Struthio camelus: one gene and its partners. The protein of the gene in region 1 interacts with the protein of each later gene in a biochemical or structural test. Links are inferred from orthologs where the notes say so. Each region holds a gene or a part of one and is shown in the gene's direction. Other genes may lie near its edges.

What was found.
Region 2: the proteins of BCAR1 (region 1) and PTPN1 form a complex in vitro, tested with the Homo sapiens proteins (3 studies listed by BioGRID and IntAct, with this or other methods). The link is inferred for Struthio camelus from reciprocal best matches to the Homo sapiens genes BCAR1 and PTPN1.
Region 3: the proteins of BCAR1 (region 1) and PTPN12 form a complex in vitro, tested with the Homo sapiens proteins (3 studies listed by BioGRID and IntAct, with this or other methods). The link is inferred for Struthio camelus from reciprocal best matches to the Homo sapiens genes BCAR1 and PTPN12.

Annotation. Positions count from the first base shown.
Region 1 is NC_090951.1:22,278,339-22,286,101, forward strand, and holds the start of BCAR1 (breast cancer anti-estrogen resistance protein 1), read left to right. Parts: upstream 1-4,706; 5' UTR 4,707-4,829; coding exon 4,830-4,841; intron 4,842-7,763. UniProt on the Homo sapiens protein: Docking protein which plays a central coordinating role for tyrosine kinase-based signaling related to cell adhesion. Implicated in induction of cell migration and cell branching. Involved in the BCAR3-mediated inhibition of TGFB signaling.
Region 2 is NC_090959.1:10,207,732-10,215,793, forward strand, and holds the start of PTPN1 (tyrosine-protein phosphatase non-receptor type 1), read left to right. Parts: upstream 1-5,000; 5' UTR 5,001-5,038; coding exon 5,039-5,206; intron 5,207-8,062. UniProt on the Homo sapiens protein: Tyrosine-protein phosphatase which acts as a regulator of endoplasmic reticulum unfolded protein response. Mediates dephosphorylation of EIF2AK3/PERK; inactivating the protein kinase activity of EIF2AK3/PERK.
Region 3 is NC_090942.1:13,931,957-13,939,160, reverse strand, and holds the start of PTPN12 (tyrosine-protein phosphatase non-receptor type 12), read left to right. Parts: upstream 1-4,197; 5' UTR 4,198-4,309; coding exon 4,310-4,408; intron 4,409-5,660; exon of another isoform or gene 5,661-5,962; intron 5,963-7,204. UniProt on the Homo sapiens protein: Dephosphorylates a range of proteins, and thereby regulates cellular signaling cascades. Dephosphorylates cellular tyrosine kinases, such as ERBB2 and PTK2B/PYK2, and thereby regulates signaling via ERBB2 and PTK2B/PYK2.

The DNA of each region.
Region 1 (7,763 bases):
ATGGCCGCGAAACGTTAATCCGGGGCGATTAGCAGGACAGAGGGGACTTTGTGCGGCCCCCCGGCCAGGGAAGGCGCTGGCTGGGCCGAGCGCCTTCGCCGTAACTCGCCGCCGCCGGCTGCGTCCTCGCCGCGGGGACGCTCCGGCTGCGCGAACGCGGCTCCGAGCGTATCTCGGAGTCGCAAGGCCCTAATGCTGCATTTTTTGTTTTCTTTTTGGCATTCGATTTTCTTGGAGGTGGGAAAAGCAGAAGGGAAACCTGTCCTTGCCTGTGCCCCCGGCGGGTGCTTCACAGCAGCGCTGCCACGACGGAAACCGGGGCGTTGCAGGGAGCCTTTGCCAGCGCCGGGTGCTCGGCAGCTCCCGGCAGCGATCTTGGCTCCAAAGCAGCAAAAGCGGCATCAAATATAGCCACAGGGCGCTTTGATCTGAGGGGAGCGTAAAATATTCCTGGTGCTTTTAAGCACCAAAGCTCCTGGGCTCGGGCGCTCGGCCACGAGCCAAACCCGGAGCCGCTACCTGCTCTGGGCAGAGGCTCCTGCAGATCCAGGAGCCGCCGGATGCCCACGAGCTGCGTGCACGGCGCGGCCCGGGGGCCGGTCTGCATCGTTTGCGATCTGCTGGGGACCGGGGCGGGTGTATCAAGGACGGGAAAGGGTTGGTGGGGGAGGACGGAGGAGTTAATCGCTGGCAGCGGCCGCTGCAGGCCTTTGATCAGGCTGCCGGCTGCTCCGAGCCGCTCCCCGCGCCGCCGTGCCCGGCCGGCTCCCGACTGAAGCTGTTCCAGCGCGAGGGAGGCCGGAGCCAGGCCCGACCCTCCGGCTGCCCGCGGGCCCCCGCGCCGGCCGAACCGAACTCGCTCCTCCCCAGAGCCAGCCGCGTCCCCCCCCCCCGCCCCCCGCCACGGGCTGGCCCGGGAACTGCTGCTCGCAGATTTATTTAATCAATACGTGACGCCTATTGCAAGCGGCACATCAGCCCGCGCGGGAGGCACCCGCCGCCGCCGCCCGGTTCGGCTTTGTTTGGTGTTTGGAGCCTTGTGGCACCCGATCGCGCCTCGGAGCGAGACTTCAGACGAGCATGAATGAACCACGCTGCTGCTGCTAGCCCTGGCCCCGGCCAGCGGGGAGCTCTCGGCCGGTCGGCGCTGGCCCCCAGGCTGGGGGGGGGGGGGGTTGCAGGATTTGGCCCACTGGCAGCACCCCCCCCCCAGCTCCCCCTCTCCCAAGGCAGTGATTTCCCGGAGAAGCCCCATGGGCTGGCCAGATCCTGCTCCATTAGAGGGTGGCGCTGGGGCAGGTATCCCCAGGCCGTAGCAGCAGGAGCTTTTACGCCGGAGCACCCGGACAGCGTTTCTCCGGGGCTGCCGGGACCTGGGCAAGCGCACAGCTGGGCACAGCTGGACACGGGGCAGATGTGGAGCAGAGAGGCGGCTGGGGCGGCAGGGAGCAGACGCGTGCGCGCGTGTGCGTGTGTGTCCAGGTGTACGCGCACGTCCTTGCGCGTTTATGTGGCTCTGTGTGTGTGTGTGCACACGCGTGTTCGCGTGCACGGCTGTGCGCGTGCCCCGAGCGCCGGTGCATGCAGCAGGCTGTCCCTCCGCCCGGCCACGCGCAAGCAGAGCCAGGAGCAGGAGCTCCGCGGGGCAAGGCGGAGGGGCACGAGGAGCCGGGGATGTGCGAGCCCCGGCGAGAGCAGCCCGGGAGAGGCGTTCGCGGCCTCCCCGCCTGCGCTCAGAGTTTCCAGGGAAAACCCGCCAAGGCCTCGTCCGCTCTGCCGCGGCGGCAGAAGAGCTGGTGGCGAGCTTTCAACTGCGAGCGCCGCGCTGCAGCGCCCGCCAGCTCTGGACGCGCAGACGGAAAAACGGGAGGGGAGGGGGAAAAAAGGGAAAGGAGGAGGAGAAGAGGCCGAGGGCTGCTCCTCGGGAGCGCAGCCGGGGGCTGCACCGCCCGCCGGGGCGCCCCTCGCCGGAGAAAAGGCCTGCTTGAGATGCGCCTGAAGACCCGCAGCTATTTATAGCTTGAGCGACCCTCCTGCCCGGCCCCTCGCTGCCTCTTTTCTCTCTCTTTCCTGCAGGGAGGGCTGGGACCCCGAGGATCCCAAAACGGGGGTGTCCTGGCGGAGACCGGAGCCTGCCTTCGGGGCTGCGCTGGGGCAGGGGCCAGCGGTACGGCCTTGCCCCGTGCGCCGCGTCGGCCTCGCCTGGCCCCGGGTGGCCGCCCGCCGCGGGGCCGGGAGCTGCCGCGAGCCGGAGCCGCGGGACCCGGCACTCGCCGGGGCGCCCTCCAAACCGCCAGCGCCTCCTGTCACGGGGAAGAGGAAACCATTTGCCCGCTGGGGTGGCTGCGGTTTCCGGCGCGACCGCAGCCCCCTGCTCTCGGCGGATGCTGCTCGGACCCGGCGGCTGCTGCCACGCTTCGCTCTGCGCCTCCCGTGCCTCAGTTTCCCCAGGCAGCAGCAAGGGGCAGGGGGGCGACTCGAAGCACAGGGAGCGCCGCCACAGCGAAGCGCCCGTCGCCAAGGGGAGGGTGTCGGGGCGCCGCCGCTGCCCGGCGCTGCTGGCGAGGCCAGGCCACGCGGCGCGAGCCGAGCGAGCCCGGCTCTTGGCAGCGGGGAGGGGGGCGAAGGGAAGGGGGAGGGCGGCGTTTGCAACGCGGCCTCGACGCCGCTGCTCCCCGACAAGGAGCAAAGGTAACCCCGGAGGGTGAGATTTCCAGCGAGGAAATACCATCGCTGGGGAACGCGTGGCCGGGAGGCATGTTCGCGGGAAGAGGTGCATTCCTGGCATGCCGCGGCGAGAGCGCCTGCTCGCTCGCCGCCGGGCCGCTCACGCACGCCGGCCCGCCTGCTCCGCTCGGGCGCAACGCCGCTCGGGGCCGCCGGCCGGGCTGGGCTGGAGGCAGGCAGGGCTGCCGCCTCGGCTCCGCCGAGCCCGGACCGGCCGGCCGTCGGGGCGCCCTGGCGGGGGCTCAGTCCTTCCCGTCGGGCTGCGAACGTGCCGGAAAGGCGCCCCCGGGGCTGAGCGCACCCCTCTGCCCGCGCAGCCTTGCCAAGGCGTCCGGGCTTGCTGCTGGGGACGGGGGCGACGAGGGGCGGCTGCGATGCCGCACCGGCCGGCCGGCCGGCCCCGCACGACGCCCCCCTCGACGCTGCCGGGGCGCCTCGGCGGGAACGCCAGCGCGGCGGCCCTGGGGGTGCCAGAGGGGACCCGGCGTCGCCTGCCCGAGGGAGCCAGGCAGGATTCGGGCCGAATTGCCCTAAACAAGCCAAGGTAAACAAACACACCTAGCGCTATGATGACTTTATCGAGCGTATCGCAGGCCGCGCAAGCTAAGCAACGCCCGTCGCTGGCCGCTGGAGCTCCAGCTGCCCTCCTGCCCTTTACCCGGAGAAAGTCCCAAACGGTTTCTTCCTCCCGACGCTTCCCATCGCCGGCGTTTCCCGGTCTGGTCGCCTCCCCGCCCGGCGCTGCCCGCGGGGGTAACTGCTCCCGAGGCCGCTCCCGCAGGGCGCTCGCTCCTGCCCTTGCTGTTCAGCAGCACGAGGCCACCGAAGGCACGGGGCCGGGAGCCTCGGCGCTCCGCTCCTGCCCGGGACTCGCGGGGCGCAGGCAGAGCACGGCGCGGCTCGGGGCACCCCAGACCGCCAACCGAGAGCCGCCAACCCCGAGCCGCCGTCGCGGGGCGGCAGCGGGCCAGGGCCCTTCCCGGCCGGCGCGTCACCCCCCCCGCGGGACGCCGCGGCGTTTTGGGACGCCGCAGGGCTCCGGCCGCCACCCCCCGCTACCTGCCCGGCGTACGCAAAGCCGTAGCGCTCCCGTTAGGCACACACGCCCCTCGCACGCCCCTCGCACGCCCCCGGCGCGCACCGCCCCTTACCCCGCTCGGTACCTGCCGTGCCCATCGCCCGCCGCCCGCTACAGCCGCGGTACACCTTCTTCACATGCGTTGTGCTTCACACCCCACCCCAACACGCGCTCCCTGTTGTGCGCACACACGTTACACGCACCCTGCCCATTACACACCCATTGCACACACAGCCCCGTTACACACCCGTTACACACCCCTGCCCCTTGCACACGGGTTACGCACACCCTTCCTGTCACATGCCCATGACATGCCTGCTACACACACACACACACACACGCCGCCTGTTAGACCCCCGTCACCTACACCCACACACCTTCCTGGCACGTGCCTGTAACGCGCACGCACTGCTGCCAATTACACGTCGTACACGCGCACGCACTGCCTGTCACACCCCCGTTACACGCCCCGTTGCACACACACTCCTGCCCCTCACACCGGGGTCACCCCCCCGCCTGTTACACACCCCTCGCACACACGCACACCTGTCACGGAGCCGTTACACCCCCGTGGCGCACCCCCCCGGCCTCCACAGCCCCGTGGCGCACACACGCGTGCCCGTGGCGGGCCCGGGGCAGCCCCCGCTGCACCGCCGCTCCCTCCCCCGGCCCGGCCCGGCCCGGCCCCGGCGGCGGCGGGCGCAGCAGCGCCGCCTCCCGCTCCGCGGCGGCGCCGGCAGCCAATGGGCGGGCGGCGGGGGCTGCCGGGACCGGGCTGGGCACCGCGCTATAATGTTACCTACGGCGCGGCCGCCGCCAGAGCGCCGCTCGCCCGCCCGCGCCAGGCCGCGCCGCCCGCCGCCGCCCCGGCCCCGGCCCGCGGGGGCTCCGCGCTAGGGCAGCCGCGCCGGCACCGCCACCGGCACCGGCACCGCCACCGGGACCGGGGCCGGCGGGGAGCCCGAGCGCAACTTTTCCTCCCTGCCGCCCGGCCGGGGCCTTCCCGCATCGCCGCGGCAGGAAAATGAACTACTTGGTGAGCGCGGGCGGCGGGGCGGCGGCGGCGGCGGCGGCGGCGGGGGACAAAGGGGCGGCGGCGGCGGGGAGCGCGGCCGGGCCCGGCGGGGTGACCTTGGCGGCCGCCGCGGCGGGGAGGCCCCGCGCCGCCCTCGGACGTGGCAGGCGGGGGGGGGGTCCGGCCGGTGCCCCCGCGGCGGCGCGTTCCCGCTGCCCCCGGCGCCGCGTGGCGCGGGGCGGCCGCGCAGGGCAGCGGGCGGAGGGGCGCGGGAGCGAGGCCGAGGCGGGCGAGGAGGCAGCGCGGCTGTGCGGCGGCACCAGCGTAACGAGCTCGCGCGTTCTCAGCCCCGCTGCCGCCGGGCTGCGTGCGCGGCCCCGGGCCGGCGGGCAGGGTCCACGGGGGGCGCAAGGCCGCGCCCGTCCCCTTGCTCCCCCCCCCCCCGCCCCGGCTCGCCTCCTCGGGAGCCTTCAGGCCGGACGTCGCTTTGGAGAGTCCCTTTCCCCAGCCGCTGACCTCAGGCCCGCCGGGGCCCTGCCCGGTGCCGCCGGGACCCCGGCAGCGGACTTGACCTTGCGGGCTCGGTCCCCGCGGGACGCGAGCTGCTCGCCGGGGTCGGTGCCGGCCCCCGGGGCTCCCTGCCGCACCGCGCTCCTCCTCCGGGCTCGCGCCAGCTGAGCTGACCCGAGATGCTCCCCGCAAGGCCAGCCCTGCGGTTTCCATCCTGCTCGCCCAGAATCAGGCAGGACCGAGGTCCCCAGCCCTCGTCCCCGGCTGCGGGCCGGCCGCAGGTCCCGGTTTTGTGGTGCAGCGGGGAAGGGCCGTATCAGGGCTGTCGCCTCAGCACTGGGGGTCCCTATGAACCGCCGGGTGTTTTTCGGTAATTGATGGCCCTGCCGGACGGGTGGGGGTGAGGTGGGACCCAGCCGGTGGGACAGCATCCTTGGGGGGGGGGGGTCAGTGGAGGCGGTTGCACCAGCCTGGCTCCCTATCCTGCCTCGGGGCCGCGCCACGCAGCCTGGCCCGCGGCGGACGCTCGGCCCCCCGCACCGGCAGCCCTCGGGAGTTCGGCCGGCCTCCGCAGGAAGCCGCTCGCTGAGGGCCGGGAGAGCAGAGGGAGCTCGGCAAGGCCGGTCTTCCTGTGGGCGTGCGAATGCCCTTCCTGTGCGCGTCAGCCCCGCGGCCCCGCCGCTGTTAATGATTCACCGGGAGCTAATCAGCGCAGCGAGGCCAAGGCTGGGGGACAGGACGGGATGGGACGAGGGGACGTGCCGGCCTTGCAGCACCCTTGCCGTGCTGGGCAGTCCCCGAAGCGCGGCGGCCCTGCGGTCAGGGTACCCGCTGCCTCCCCGGCGGTGCCACCGAGCGCCACCGCTGCCTGGTGCGGGCGGACGGGTGGCACGGGCAGCGTCACCCACGGAGGTGGGCCCGCTCCATAGGAGCGCCGTGGGGGGCTTCGGCAGCCCCGGGGGTCCGTGGCTCAGGATGCGCCCCTCCTGCCTGCTCGGCGGGGGGGAAGGCGCCCGCGCTCCCCTCTCCAGGCAGGAGTTTCCCCTGGCAGCCGGGATGGGCCCAGGCAGGGCACAGTCCGCAGCGGGCGGTTAAGCCAGGCGTCATGCGGGCAGGTTGCAGGCAGGAGGTGGAAGAGCCCGGAGCAGAGTCCTCTTCCCACCCCTTTGCCTTGGCGAGAGAGAAGCGCAGCGCCCAGGACACGCGTCTCTCCTGGAAAGCAGCGCCCAGCGTGCCAAAGGCACCCGCCGTTTTCGTGCCCTACTGGCACGGCTTTTCCCCTCCTCTCTAACGTCGTAGACGTGGGTGCCGGCTGGAGGCTGCCGTCTCCCCGGCTGCTTTCCCGCGTTGTGCCGGCTTAGGGCCCTGGGCTGGGACTTGCGAGCTGCCACCCCCCTCCTCGCGCAAGCTTGGCCCTGTCATTGAGTCTGCCGTGCCCTGGGTTCCCGGTGGCAGCGGAGCGGGGTGGCTCCTGGGGAGCAGCCTGGCTTGCGGCTCGTCGGTCCCAGGGCGCTCGCGCTGACAGCGGTGACGGGCTGGAAAGCGGAGGTGCCTCGGCCGTGCGGTCACCTGGTCTGCTGGGGCCACAGACCTGCCAGTCTGCGGCCAGCGGGTGATGGCAGCGCAGCGTCGGGTGGAGAAGGGGTGCCGGGGGGTCTCGTAGGCCGAAAGCAGCGCTGGGGGCCCTTTTGCTTCTCCGAACAGCTGGCCTTGGACACCTGGGGTGTTTGGGCAGCTGGAACTGGCCCCACGTGGGCAGGCCCCATCAAGACTGTGACTTCTAGCCCTGCCTGTAAGCTGAGCACCCTCTGGGCTGGTCCTGCTGCTCCTTGGGGCTCCCTGCAGGTCCCTTCGGTTGGGGGCCCCCACAGGCGCTGAGCTCTAGGAGGGGAAAGCACCGTGGCAGAGGGAGATGTGCTGGAAGGGTGTCTGCTGTGGGTGCCGCAGGGTGCTGTGCCACGCAGCTGTGGTCTCGGCTGCTGCTAGCCCGCTAGCCAGGCCCCGGCCCAGTGCTGCGCTGTAAACTGTGACCGCACGCCCTGAAAGCCCCTCCGGCCAAGGAGACTGTCTAAGCACTCGCTCCAGCCAGGGACCTGCCTCCGATGGCTCTGTTGGCTCCTGATGGCCATGATCCTGCCCTACGTGTCACAAGCTTGGCGGGCTCAGCCTGCACCTGGCAGGAAGAGCCCTGCGCTGCTGAAAGCTCCCAGCTGGTTGTGCTGGATCTTTCTGGTAGCTGATACCAGTTTTCTACCAACTCTCTGAGCGAAGGGCCAGGAGGCAGAGGGTGAGGTGGACGCACAGCGGGGCTGGAGGGCAGCGCCATGCTCCCTGCTCCGGCAGCTGGTTCAGTGAGCTGGCGCTTTGGTCCTTGTGTCCTGGCAAGGCTGCTCCGTGCTGGCACCCTCTGCCAGGACACAGGGAGGGACAGTT
Region 2 (8,062 bases), on another chromosome or scaffold:
CTACATCAGTTTGGTCCTGTGATATAAAACTGTCCACATTCTGGTCATGCTCCCTATTAGGCCATGTCTACAACAAAGGCTCTAACAAACCAGACCACTTTCATGTCGCTTTTCTTTCCCAGTCATTCATGAATATGCCGACTCTTTCTGCAGACAGTGTATCTGAAGCTTGTGAACATATGTGCCATTCTTCTACACAGCTGCACTCTCCTCCTTCCACCAAGGACTTTTGTTTTGCGTTGCACTGCATCTTTGCCTAAGATGCTCTACTGCAGCGGAACTTCAGTAATTCTGCAGCATTTAGGGTTCATGGTCATCTCCCATAATCTCAGTCCTTAAGTGCCCCGCTTGCTTTGGAGCAAGGATTTTCAGTATTTGATGAAATTTTCTGCTGCACACTGACAAACTGAAACGTACTTTCTAACACTTGTTATACTCCCACGATCCTGAATTTATCTCCTTTTTAGCACTAAGTCCAGCCTCTAGAGTATCTTCTGTTTTCATTAGGAGACAAGGTCAAGTGAACCACATACTTCACACAGATTAGAACTCACAGAAGACCTTACTCTGCAACAAAGCTATGGCACTGCTTCTGAAGTGTTTCAGAAAGAAGCTGTCCTGGATAAAAAGATGTACATTCTCCCTAACAGATTCAACACTGAGTCAGGATTAGCAAGTCCTTCTCCTCATTAATTTAACACACCTGAGTTCAAATCTGTTAACTTCTCCTTCTCTAATTATGAGTTAAAACAGAAAGAAAAGCCAAGATCAGGAATTATTTTCATGGAGCACTGCAGACCCAGGGTGGATACACACACCCAGGTATCTCACTAGAAATAATACAACCTTATACCCATCAATACCTTTTCTCCTCACATTCTCACCCTTTGATCAGAAGGAAGTGTTAAAAACAGGAAATAATTATTTGAGGCATCTTTGCTTCTAAATGCAAAAGAAATTAGTCACTGCAAGTTAGCTGAGCCTGAATGTTACTTTGTGTACTTAACCACAGTATTTAAAAAATGCAAACTAAAACACATCTTTTACCACAGAAATCATACTATGAGTTAGAAGATATCAATCTTGATCCTTATCTTGCATACAGTAATGAAAATTAAAAATAATTTCATCGTAATAAAACTGATACTGATGTCAGCATAAAATCAGAAGCAAAACAGTCTATTATCACCAAAATACAATCTCCAATTGCACTAGATTTAGCTTCTGAACTTAACAGGTGCTTCAAAGTATCCAAGACATAACACGTGAATCGTAAGTCTTGTGTGATGCTGTAATATAAATGAGGGGAAAATCAAGATAGAACTGAACTTTTCACAGTAACAATCCTGAACATTTCAACTACAACAAAAAAAAGGAAATCAGAACAAGGAACGCCTAAGACGCAACACCAGAAGGACATATTAGAGGATGCTAGTCAAGTCTGAGCTCTGTTTAACACAAGACTGTATTTCTGTTAAATAAAAAAAGAGAGGTTGCTGTAGAGTAATGGAATAAACATGCACATTGCAATAGAATAAAGTGAGCTGAATGTGAATGACAACCTTTCCAGCTGTACACTGGAAACGCAGCCCACTGGAACTGCCTTAATATAAAGTTGCGTTCAAAATCAAACAGTGAAGAAACAATATGCATCCTATTTACAGATACTTTAATGGGGATTTATGACACTGGCTGTTTTAAACTAGGTCATCCCAAAATCTTGAATATTGTTAGCAGAAAGGCAAATAAAGACTATAACATGATTAAATTGGGTAAGTCATTTTAGTGGGTTTCAAATTAAACAAAAATAATAGACTTAGTTTCATTGTTCTGTTAATGTTCCTTTTTCAACTCGAGGCCAGGCTGCTTCACATTATTTTGTGGGTAGCTACACCTCAGTCTGTATTAAGGGATACAGAAAAATTGCTACAAGCCCCTACAACTGTTACAAAGAAATAGGACTAGGTTGAGCACTCTCACCTGCTCAGCAGGAGGAACTGCAGAATTTGCTACCTATAGAATGCACTTGATGTTTCTCTAAGGTGGCCTACATGCCCTTAACATTGCTTTAGCAACACAAGCTGTCAAAGAGATGAACATTTAACATAAACAAGTATCTAACTGTAGCGTCTAATTGTAATTTTTAAGTGTGCCATTTTTTTACCTATGGATGTCATTGCATGTACTATTGCTTTAACTGTATGTAAAAATAAACTAAAAATAATTCAATAGTACATGCACCAATTAGCCATACTGTTCTGAAATATGAGTCGCAATGTATATCATTGCTGTGAATCGTTCCTTACTTCTTTTGCATACATTTATGTACGTAACAGTGGGTGAATATTTATAATGCAGTTTACGTCCCTGAAAATTTCCAATTACTAGAGAAAAGCATTCATTGAACCAGATCAACACATTTTAAAACGTTACTGGTCACACATCGCAGTTGCGATAGACTGAAGGTTTGTGTAGAAATGTAAGATACACTGGTAGTTCTTATAATCTCTTATTTTCTGGATTTCTCTGTGACATCTGTAGCTGAACATCAATTTGTTGAGGACAATAGATGAGTTTTTGTTATCCAAGGCAATTAATTCTGTGACAACAGCATACATTTCGCAAAATATATTGTCCGTGAACCACTGGCTGAAGAATTTGTACTGTTTTTATTTATTATGCCCATTCAGGTGACATAAGCACAAGAGACTGTATGCTATCTGCATTTATAAAATGTTTATGCACTGCAGTAATTCAACTGCATGTAGCTACAGTTTTACAAGCTTTGACCTGTTCTAGGTAGGATCAGGTTTATGCCTGCATAAGAAGTAGCCATCCATAGGTTGCAGGAATGCTCTCTGGTAACATTACAGGGACTCATCTCTCAGAATGGATCATGGAAACACAGCAAGACTCCCCACATATGTTCGTTAATTCTTGACCCTGAAATAACAGGGAAAAGGGAAAGCAGCAGAGTTGCTAAATTTGTCTTTATGTCTCCAGGTCCAATAGGTCAAAAATTCACCACTTCCTCCACATAGACTCAGGATAAGGATGCAGCCTCACAGCACCCAGAAAAAGGGAGAGGTGAGATGCACTCACCCATCCTTTTGCTTGTACTAACACTGAAAGGTTTCTGAATGGACGGGAACCCTTTTGTTCATGGAACTAATACCATAATTGCCTAATTCCAAAAAACCACATAGAGAGAATGCCCATTTCATAAGAAACGCAAAAAATCTTTCTAATACCATCTGCTAACGCCACTATACTACACGCAGCAGCTGACCAGAGAATAATGTTTCACTGCTTATCTCGGTTAAGTCTTTTTATCCTGTTAAGACACTTTCCACAGCTTGCCTTTTCCTGTGGGCAATTAACCCTCTCCCATATTTCAGGCCCCTCATCTCACATCTCTGACTAGCGCTCTCTTCTCAAGAGAGCATCTAAGCAGCCTAATACAATGAGTCTCTAATGGGATGGCATTCTGGGGCTGAACACTTCCAAAGACCGCATGGTACAAAGATTAGGAGGAGCTTTCGCTAGCAGCAATGGCTAAGTGGAGCAAGGGCTGCTGCTAAGCGATGAAATACTTGTCTTCAGTGACATTGACATATCTTCCATTCCTCAGTCACTGCTCTCTCCAGTTCATACCGTGCCTTGGGCGTTTATGGCTGAATTCACTCAAAAAAATGACAGATCTTAGAAATCCACTCTCACTGCCTCATTTCAGATCAGTGCGCATGCTACAGAGATACCAGGTATGCAAAACCAGCACCAGGCCTCAGAAATGGCATGTTCCAAAAAACTTGTGAATGACTAATCCAACAAAGAGACACTGGCCGACATAGGAGAAATTCCTGGCTTTGGAAACAAAAGTGTGCTCTAGCATTATACATGGGAGAATTGTGCCCATATGTTTGGAACATCTTGCCTTGAAACTCAGGAAGAAAGAGATTCTCTCTCTAATATTAGGTATCTAGGCCTCAACTTCATCTGAAGTTGCTTTATTAAACGGGTGCAATAGCATGGTGAATGTTTACCTACTGGGATAGCACTATAGCTCCTTGCACAGTAATAGGCATTTCACAGACGCAGAAATCAAAGAATTGAGGACAGATGCTCAAACTCCACGCTGAGTTTCTGGCATCACACATTCCTTTAGATGAAAAGGTATGGGACAACTGACAAAAATGTTTCACTCTGCAGATTGCATAACAGTGAATAACAAATTCTCCATCTTCTGACTGCAGTGAGGAAGAATACAGTCGTCTTCTCCCATCTTTGAAGTAACATATGCACATACACACACATTTTGTGCGCTGCCAGACCAGATTGGTACAACCAGACACCTGCTGCAAGATTTGGTGTTTTCCCTACAGTTCCTTCCTCTGGAACCAGAGGACTGCATGAGAAATTGTTTCGAATTTCTTGCTCCTCTTGCCCCAGATGAAGAGCTTGAACACATGACTCAGAGCACTTCCTCGCGGCTCAGAAACGAGAAGGCGCCAGCCTGGCATCAGAAGAGCTAAAACGAGCGGCTCCGCTCTTCCCCAACTAATCCAGCCATCTGTTAAAAGCTGGGGCTCCCCATCCCAATCCCCCTGCGGCCCTGCACCCTGCCGGGAGCGCCCTACCTGTCGGCGCGGCCCGGGGCCAGGCCGGCGCGGGGGCCGCGGGGAGGCGGCAGCCCGCCAGCTCGGCCCCGTTCGCCCGCCTCCAGCAGCGGCTCCCGGAGCCGGACCGTCGCCTCGGGGCGGGGGGCAAGGGCAAAGCGGCCCCCCGTGTGCCCCCGGCGGGAGCAAGGCGCTGCTTCGCTTGCCCGCCCGGGGGGTGGGGGGGAGCGAGGCCGCAGCTCCTCTCCCCCCGCCCCCCCCCACCACAGAGCGCTCCCGCGCGCAGCGACCGTTAGCGACCGTTAGCGCCGCGCGCCCCGCGCGCCCCCTCGGCCGCGCCGCTCCGCAGGCCCCGCGGCCGCCCCGGACATCGCGTCGCCGGGGCTGGCTGCGTAGTTCCGGCGGGAGAAGGGAGGGGTGACATGCAGAGCAGGCAGCCGCGGCCTCGGGAGCAGCTGGAGCCCGAGCTGCCGGAGCAGCGGGCGGCGGCGGCGGCGGGGGGCCAGGCCGGGCGCGGCGTCCCCACCATGGAGATCGAGAAGGAGTTCCACCGGCTCGACCAGGCCGCCAGCTGGGCCGCCATCTACCAGGTGAGGGCAGCGGCCGGGCCCGGCTCTGCCCCGGCCGCGGGGCGGGCGAGGGGGGAGCGCCCTTCCCTCACCGCTTATCTGCCGCCGCCTCGTTCCGCCCCCCGCGCCGTCCCTGCCCGGCTGCCCAGGGCCCGGCGTCGGGGCGCGCTGCCCTCCGCCTCCCCCTGCCCTGCGAAGGAGCCCTCGCCCTCCTCCTTCCCCGCCCTGCCGGGCTCGCCGGGCTGCTCGGCTCTGCCCTCCTTCCCCTTCTGGCCGGCCGGGCGCTGCGGGCAGAGGCGGGGTAGCTCAGTCCCGCGGGGTGCCCGGGGGGGGCCTCTCTCCTCCCGGCTCCCCCGGAGCGAAGAAGCCCCTCAGCCGCCTCCTTGCCGAGGCTGGCGCGGGCGGAGGCTGCTGGCCGCCGCCACCCCGCCTCGGCCCTCGCTCCGTCGCGCCGACCCTGCGGGCTGCCGGCCCGAGCCAGGTCCTCAAGCTCCCGGGGCAGGGAGGCTCCAGCTCCTCGCCTCTGCGGAGGGAGCATGCAAAGAGTTTTCTGTGCTTGATCTCTCAAGCACGCTCTTCTTGTTCCAGGTTCCACGGGGGAGGGGGGAGCTAAGCATGGTCAGAATTGCTCAGTAACCCTTTAAAACTGCTCGCTTCCTAACCTTGAGGGAGTAAATCCGAGTATAGCTTGTGTATTGTACTTTTTTTTTTTTAACTGCGATGGGCAGCGTTACATACACCTGGCTTTTCAGTCATTTTTATAATACAGTAGTTCTTTAAAATGGTTTGTTAGTAATATTTATGCAATCATCTAGTTGTATTTTTTTATTAATAGTAATAATGCTTCATTAAATTGTTTACTGTCTTCAGCTGTTTAGCGACAGATGTTTTAAAAAAATTATGTGGCAAATGTGGATGGTTGTGAAAATTTTTGCAAATTGAATACAACTCCAGAAGTACAAGCAGCAGAAATTAAGGCTTTCATCTGTAAAAAGTTCTTTGTGCAACCACTTATCCAAAATGAAGTATAAGATAAGATGAAGAACATGAATGGTTAGGCTGATGTGGTTCGGTGAGATTGGGTAGCACTACTGTAAAATCCGTCTGAGTACTTAGGCTGGTATATTAGATATTCTAATGAGTTTTAAATTCATATGTTGTAACATAGAAGTTGAGCTTTCCCTTTCACTATGAATTTCTCTGGCAACAGGCATTTAAAAAAATAAGTGGAGTTTTATCAAAGTGAAGTAAATGAAGTTCAGTTTCAGAATCATGGCATGCAAGTTCTAAAAGTAGTACCTTGCAGGATGAACATCTCCAGTCTCCGGTTGTTTGGCAATTAAAGATGGAGAATAAGCATGACATTTTGAGTATGCTTTTCAGAAGATCCATTTTTGGGGTATTTCATTTCCTGCAGTGTTCCAGTGCTTGCTAACTCTGTATCAGTTGAAGTCATGTGCGTATATGACGTTATGCTTTTACTAAACTGTTCTTGACGAGTTGGTATGTTGCAGGCTCAGTGCTCAGGAAATGATTTTGAGTAATACAGCTATGTAATGGAGATGGTATATTTCTATGGGCACAATTTCATCACAGAAGTGAAATGTGTAAGGAGGCCTAAGTTTAATAAGAATGAGGGACTGTGGCATATTTTCAGTGTGGGGTTACCATTCAGTGTTATTTTTGTCCCACTGCACTGTGGCACAGAGTGAGGTTTGTTTGAGGGCTAAAATTCAACTCAAAAAAGATGGAAGTCATTGTTTTGATTTGCATCCAACTACTGACAAGCATGAGAGGTGGGTTTGAGTATTTTTTTTTTTTTAAGTTGTTTGGTTAGTAAGTTGTGCATCTGTGTCATGTAATTCAGTGGCTTTCTGCATCCTGCATTTACGTATCAGGTGTTGACATTTGACATACCATGTATATCTCAAGTAACAATGCACTTGGTTTTAACCTGTGTTTTTAATGTCTGCGGTGTAATATTGATGTTTCACTTGTCCTACAAATACCAGTCTTTGCATGAAAAATGATAGAAGTGCAATAATGTGTGTTATTGGTGCAGTCTTGTATTTCTGAAAAAAGCCTTCCCCCAGATTAATCAGGCCACAAGCTTCCAGTATCGAGATGTTACAAAGGTAACTACCAAATGCCTAAAATGTATACCAGTGTTCTGAATGAAGCATAACAGTTTACTAACCGAGTCTCTTCCTCTTATTTCTTGTTCAAATCTATTGTCTAGAGGTACAGAACTGCCCTGTATCTAGGGAAGGAATTATGAATACTACAGGGAGCTGAAGCTAATTTGAAGGATGGCTACAAGGAGGCTTGTCTGGGTGCCACGTGACTTTGAAGGGCTAAAAGTGTCCAAGCTTCATTTTTTTGGATGAGGGGAAGCTATGCTAATCTACGATAATAGTATGGTTGTGAAAAAATACAATTTTAATATATAAATATTTTTAAAGCATAAATAATCACAGGAAGGAGGCAAAAACATCTCAAAAAGAAGAACTTCTCTAAGTATTTGTGTATGTCAGCATGTGACAATCATATCTTGGGTACTGTATGTTTAGTGGAACTGTTCTGGTTCTCAACTACAGCTGGTCAAAAACAGGGTAAACACTGAATTCTCAAATTTTTTTTTTTTTTTTTAAAAACACCCAGTAGCCTCCCTCATTTTCTTGTTTTTTCCCTCATTTCTCCCTCTTGCCACAAGAACCATGAGACCATGTGAAGTTTGTTCAGAGGCCCAGTATACAAAAAGGGCCAGTCAGGCCCTGGCCTGTGCTTGTATGGTAGAGGAATTAATTATAGAAGATAATGAATAAAATGAGACTTATTCTAAGTATGAAAGATTGTGAAAATAGCTACCCAATCAAA
Region 3 (7,204 bases), on another chromosome or scaffold:
CCCGCAGCTCAAAAGCTCTCTTTGATTTCTTTAGGGAACAGAGTTTTGGTAGGATCTGTGCTATTTTTTGAGCATGAGTCCAAGCCCATACCAGAGCCCAAACTGATATTGCAGACAGTTCTGCGGTGAGACTATGCCCCACCACAGTCTTCAGGCAAACTCTGAAGCTTGGCAAGCTGGGAAGTTTGGGATCCTGCTACTTCTTCCTACACCCATCCATTGGCTGGGCACAAGAATGCTGTCTGTGCCACGAAACACATTTACTAGTTAATGACACATGCTTACCTTGTAGGGACAGAAGAAGCTATCTCTGAACAAAAAAATGGCTGCCCTCTGTCCTTGCAAGCAGCTGGAGTTGTGTGGGGGAAGGCAAAATGAGATTAATAGCAAAAAAGCTGCAGGTGAGCTACCTGAGTCTCTCCAAGGACCATACTTGTATGGATTGTTAAGATACAACCACCATGTACTTCTACAGATTTTGGTTGCAGCTTCCTGTTCTATCTGCAGGGTGAGTAATTCACCCTGTGTCTTGCTCTCTTTTTCCGCCTCTCTCCTACTTTTACACATATATAGACTCATGCACACATGCTAGATTGGTCAGACGTCTGGGTTTAGCTCAGACAGTTTGAGTTTCAGATCAAAAGTCTGGGTTCAAGCACTGTTTCTGCTGCTGAAAGTTTAGGTTTCTGTGTTCACGCCAGAGAGATGAGACAGCCCAGCGCAACCGGGTAAAACTAGTGCTGTTGGGTTTGTGCTCAGGAATATCTGGCAACTCTAACACGTACACATGCCTATGCAAACAATGCTAAGTAAAGTTCTCCACCCAGGTATTTCAAATTTCTTTGTTTTGTATATGCCTTTGTTTTGGCTGGTGACACAGGCCTGGTTTGGGGGGCTTTTTTTTTTTTTTTTATTTTTTTTGAGATTGTATATTCTTCTTATTAGGTAACTCAAATGAAAGGTCATTGTTACATTTGCACTGTAATAAACTGTTTTAAACTCGCAACAACAGATTATGAACCAGTCCAGATCAATATCGTGTGTATTTTTGATGTAAGGCAACGACGACATAAGAACCAATGCAAGAAACTATGACCTTTCCTCCTCTGCTGATCACAGAACGGTTTAGGTTGGAAGGGACCTCTGGAGATCATCTAGTCCAACCTCCGTGCTCAAGCAGGGACCTCTAGAGCATATTGCCCAGGATCACATCCAGATGGGTTTTGAATATCTCCAGGGAAGGAGACTCCACTACCTCTCTGGGCAACCTGTTCCAATGCTCTGTCACCCTCAAGTCCTCTGTAACTCTTATCATGTGAATGAGTGAGTGGAGTGAGGAAGACCATACCACATTCAAGACTTTTCATCCATGCTTAGTCCCAACGATCATTTTTTTACAGTTTCATGCCTTCTGGCCCGTTGAACAGGTTTGCCAGGCAACTACCGAGCAAATTAAGCAACTTTCCTGAAGCAAAAAGAAATTAAAGTGGTATGAAAAGATCATATGAAGAATCATCACATTATTGTCCCTATTATTACTTACATATTGCTGTTTTTGTTGTATCCTTACTGGTCTTTCCAAGTCATATCTATCCTTCCGGGTGATCACTATTGTGCCCTTTCTATCTATGGCTATGTCCTTTTTTTTTTTTTTCTTTTTTTTTCCTGTTTCCCCTTAATGCTGCTTTAAGGTAGGAGAAAAAGAGGAGAAGAAGAGGAGAAGGAAAAGAGAGATTAAAGAAAAGCAGGCATCTTTGTGGCTCTTCAGGGCTGATTATCTCACAGAGACTGAAGGAAAGGACATGAAAGGGCAACCAGGCTCTCCCAGCTGACGTGATTGTGTTGGATATTCACGCTACTTTTGTGCAGTGGCGTTGAGGCTTCAATGCACAAGGGAGCTCCTCAAGACTCAGTACCTCAGCACAACACTGACTCCCTTTCCCAGTTCCTTGATGTGTCCTTCTGTCCCTCATGCATTAGCCTCCAAGACCACTAACTGCTAAAAAAAAGCCCTTTGCAAGAGGCTGAAGTCTCTAGTAAATCATGCAAGAACACAAACCCTCCCAATTTTCCAGCCTGGCCCTCTGCCACAGATGATTGCTTCTGCAGCAGAAAGAAATGTGTGTCCATGCACCAGCAGCTGCATAGTTCATAGTCCTTTGCCTTGGCTCAAAACTTCCCTTCGCTAGGAATATACGTTAAGTTGATGGACAGTGATTTGGGCTGAGGGTGGAAAACACGCCATTTTGCTGACTCTGTTATCAAGGTGGTAATCCTTAGCAGTCATCAAAGATGGCAATATCTTAGATCTCAATAGGAAGGCCAAGTTTTATGTAGGTTTGTTTCAGTAGCAAAGCCAGCTTAACGGTATCATCTCAGAGGAGGAAAAAAAACCCATACCTTTTCTATTGGGTTGTATTTCAGCTGAATCAGCTCCTTGACCTGGCTCGGTGTATGGTCCCACAAACTGTTTTGCTTGCTCAGCTGTGAGGGCAACATCCTACTGTGGGTGAGAATTAGTAGTAGAGAATGAGTGATTTGGTAGAAATGCCTTTATGGGGTTATGCTGCTCACATAGAGCTTCTTTATTAGCCTGTGTTACAAAATTTTATTGTACTAACTACATCAATAAAGACTGTGCAGCTCTTTACCAATAAAATGATGCTTAAAAACATTACTAAGTATATTTATTATGCTATAAGGCTATATATACACACATAGAATTATTTTGTTTTCCTGAAGCAGAAGCTATAAATGTAATCAGGGAACTAAACCTGTGGACAATATCTTAATGAGTTTAATCATTTTATCTTATCAAAAAAAGAATACAGGTGGATTTGCACGTACAGTGGGTGAAAATTCCTGCTTTTTTTGAACACCTTAACTTTGAAACCTTTGTTGAAAAGCATTAGGTATTTTTAGCTAAGATTGGACTGCTTCACTCTGACATTTACATTTTTCCCTTCTGAGTTTATTAAGCCCGATATAAAAGCAGAACTAACATTGTAGACATGATGTTATTAATCATAATAACACATCACAATAAATTAACTTCTTAATGTAAAAGAAGGGCCAAAATAACACTCCTTCATCTTACTGGCTCTAAACGTCTTGACATTACCAACTTTAAGAAAGCAAAACATATTTTCAAGTAAAAAGGATCGACGCCCCTGAAGACATTTCCCTCGCAACAACATAGCATTTTTTGGAGGAAAGAAAAAAAAAACCCCTCCTCCTGTCAGAGCTTTTTAAACCAGATCTAGACTCCCCGCAATACTCTGAATGCGACGACAAAGGTCCCCACTGAAGAAGGAACGGTCCGGACCCCCAGCGCCTTAGAAACACCCACGGGGCAGCGCTGCCGCCAGCCGCCTCTCGTCGGATGAGCGCAAACACAGAAAAGGGGGAAAACAGCCGCCGGCGCGGGGCCGCGGCCCGCTGCCCCCGCCATCTTCCCGCCGCCCCGGTTTACCACAGCGGCGCGGCCCGCTCGGCCTCCGGGGCGGGCGGCGGCAGCAGCCCTGCACCCCGCCTCGGCCTCCTTCCGCGGCTTGAGCCTTGCCTCCCCCCACCCGCGGAGGGGCCACTTCCCGCCGGGCTTTTCAGCGGGGACCCTCAGCGAGACGGTAACACGGACAAACCCGCGCCGCAGCCCCGCCTCCGCCGCTGGGCTGCCCCGGCGGGCGCCGCCGCCCCGGCGCGACTACAGGTCCCGGCATGCCGCGCGCGGCGCCGGCCGCAGCCCCACAGCCTGGGAGCTGTAGGCGCCCGGCAGCCCCGCTATTGTACTCGGGCCAAGAGAAGCCGCGCTCAGGCCTCCCCTCCCCCGCTTTCCCAGTGGTGCTCCCCCTCGGGGCTGGGCTGAGGCGGTGATTAGCGTGCGCCGCCACCAATGAGACGGGGGCTGAGGCGTGAGGGGCCAATGGGCGGGGAGCAGGGGCGGGCCGACCCCCTCCCTCTCCGGCTGGGCGGGAGTAGGAAACGCCAGCGGGGCTGGTGGCGCGCCTGCGCGGGGGGAGGGAGAAGAGGAGGTGGGGATTTCGTCGTGTGGTTGTGTCGGTGGCGGCTCCCGGGGCGGGCCGGGCCGGGCCGGGCCGGGCGGAGGGAGGGAGGGAGGGGAGAAGAAGAGGAGGAGGAGAGAATGGAGCAGGCGGCCGCGCGGCCGTGAGCGGGGTGGGGAGCCGTGCGCGCGGCCGCGGGGCAGGCAGGCCGGGGCGGCGGCGGCGTCGGTGACGGGCTCGCGCGGCGGCGGCTTGAGGCGCGGAGCGGAGCGGGCGGGGCGGGAGCTGCCGCTCGGCCGGGCGGCAGGATGAGCCAGGAGGAGATCCTGAGGAAATTCATCCGGCGCGTCCAGGCCATGAAGGACACGGACCACAATGGGGAGGACAACTTCGCCAGCGACTTCATGGTGAGGGGCGGCGGCGGCGGCGGGGCGCGGGCCGGGCTCTCGCCTCCCCTCAGGGCTGGGGAGGGTCCCGCCGGCCGGGCCGGGGGGTGGGAGGGCGAGGTGCCGACCCCCCTGGGCTGCCGCTGCCCGGTTCCTGCCGCTGCCCTCGGCCTCGCCTGCCCGATCCCGCTGCTCGTCAGGGTGGGAGGGGGGAGGAAGCGGAGGGAGAAGCATCGCTTCCCTCCCTGCCCGTGACCCACTATTGTGTCGCCGCGGGGCGCGGACGGCTGCCGCCGGCTCTCCGTGAGCCCCCCCGGCGGGGGGGGGGGAAGGGGGGCGGCCGCCGCCTTCGCCGCGGGGCGCCGCGCCGCCGCAGCCCCCTGCGCCAGCCCCGCTCCCCGGCGGGGGGCTCCTCGGAGAGCTTTCGCCCTCATCGCGGTAACCGGCCGTTGCCAAACTAACCGGCGGCTCCTCTCCTCCCCCCCCCCCCGCTTCCCTTCCTGCGGAGATAAAGGGGACGGGGCGGGCTGTGAGCTCCTGCCCTGCCTGGCAGCCCCTGCCCTCGCGGCTTGCCTGGTACCGTGTCAGCTGGGGCTAAGCGGGCGTTTCTTTCCCCCCTTTATTCGTCTCTGCAGCTGCCTGCTTGACGCTCTTATCCTTTCCGCGGAGAGATGTTAAGTGTATTAAATATTCCTCGGAGGAATACGCATCTTCCCGTTGGTCCCCATCCCCCCATCGCAGCCCCGGCTGTATCCCTCGTCCTTTCTTCCCTCCAGAGCAGTTCACCGTCGGCCTTTGGTTAACGTGTGCGCTTGGGCGGGGAGGGGGAGGAATTTAAATGGAGAATTAGGTCTTTTTCCTGGTTTTATTTTAGCTGCTTAGTCGGGCTGCTAAAATGTCTGAGGTGGTTTATCTTTTGAATAGAAGATATAAGCCGGGGACAATAACTCTGATTGGGCAGATGCCGCTGACACTTTTCAGTATTGTTTAAACACTTGATATGAAAATACAATTTGACCCGCAGAAGAGCTAAAGGATGGCAGGCTCTGCGTATCTTGGTAGCTCTCGTGGTTATCTGGCGATGTTTGGGATAAAAGCACGCCGTTAGCCTTTTGAGCTCTCAGCCTTTGATAATGGTCTGGGAACAAAAAAAAAAAAAAATCTGGATGTGAAGTGCCGCATCAGGGATTGTCTGAGCTGCGGGGAGGAGGCTGCGGATGTTGCGCAAGGCTGCGGGGCGCTGGGAGCGCTGGCAGGTCGGCGGCGGGGGAGGAAGTGGACTTGGGAAGCGGCGAGGCCGGCCGGGGCGGGGAGCGGCGGGGCCCGTGGGAAACCCGCGCCCGCCTCGGCAGCGATCTGCCAACACCGGAATATTCAAGCATGTGGGAAAGGAAGAGAGAGGCGATGGGAAGTTAAGAGCCCCATTCGAGTAACAGTGTAATTCTAAGGTCGTTTCACGTAATGCAACGTCCTCACGTGGTCATTCAAGAGTTAAATATGCTGACAGGACCTTTTCGTTAAACGATTGTCTTAGAAATATGACTGCTGTTAAATATAGATCGATCCATTGTACTGGTGAGTCTGCCTTGTTCTCTTAAGCTAAACATTTTATAGAAAGGGTATCCTGGACTGGTGGAAAATGTGGGATTTTTAAAATAGCCTTTCTGTTAAATACTTTAAATACTAGATTTTGTAATCAACTTTTGCTGTTTCATATCTGATCAATAGCCTAATGCTTTACCTCTGTTATAGTCAAATTGCATACATGTGATTTTTTAGCCTTTCTTATAAGTCATGACACTTCTGTATGGAAACTTTTTTTTGTATTTTTGCATTTCTGTATTTGACAGCATGTTTATACAGCTTTCAACTGTTTGGTCAGTAAGCTTTGCCGTTGCTTTCGTAGAGCATCAAGGAAAGAAAGTGCTTTTAAAAAAAAGTGGAAAATGTGGTTGTAGAAACTAATCGGCAAGGCATCTCAGGAGAAATATGTATTACCTGAAACAACAGTAAATCCTTTGAAAGTGATTGCATTTTTTTTGTCCTTTTAACACTTTCTATTTCAAACTCATTATGCTTTATTTCTGCATAATAAATTAAAGGGAATAACTTAAAGGGAAGCGGGGAAACTAGAGTGCTGGTCTTTGACATGATATTCTCATTACTTTCAATATTCATCTGCATATAAATAAAGCAGGATGGCCAGATTAGGGTGATCACAAGAATTGTAATTGCTGAAATTTTTTCACTAAGAACAAATGTATTTTTGCCATGCTTCTTTCACAAAGCCATGCTTAGATGCTATTTAAAACGATTGAAGTGAGGAAAGAAAAGAGAAATGAAGAGGGTAAAAACCTTCCATGTGGTTTTCTTTAATAGTTAATAGCGATTTTTCTGGGAGGAAGGGAAGAGGGAGGCAGTATTTCTCATTTAAGTGCAGGATGTACTGTTGCTGCTAAGCAATGGCAAGTTAGTGGAAAAGGAATTGCTGTTACTCATCGCTTCATTTCCAAGTCGAGATGGAGTCTAAAAATAGACATGGAATAGTGAGTGAATGCAACTGAAAACAATTTTTTATTTTCACATCTTTATTGCTTCAGTAATTGGCTTACAGAATTATTTTTAAATCTGAGTGAGTGAACTGAGTACTTCATAGGTATCAGGGACTTCTGGAAGAGGTGGTAAAGAAGCTGGAATCATGCAGTTATAGACTGCAGTTGACTGAAGTCTTCTGATTAGTCTGACTGAATGTTACTAAAAGCCCATGGCATAGATAAGTTTGACCGCTATTTAATAATGCCATTGATGTACCTAAAA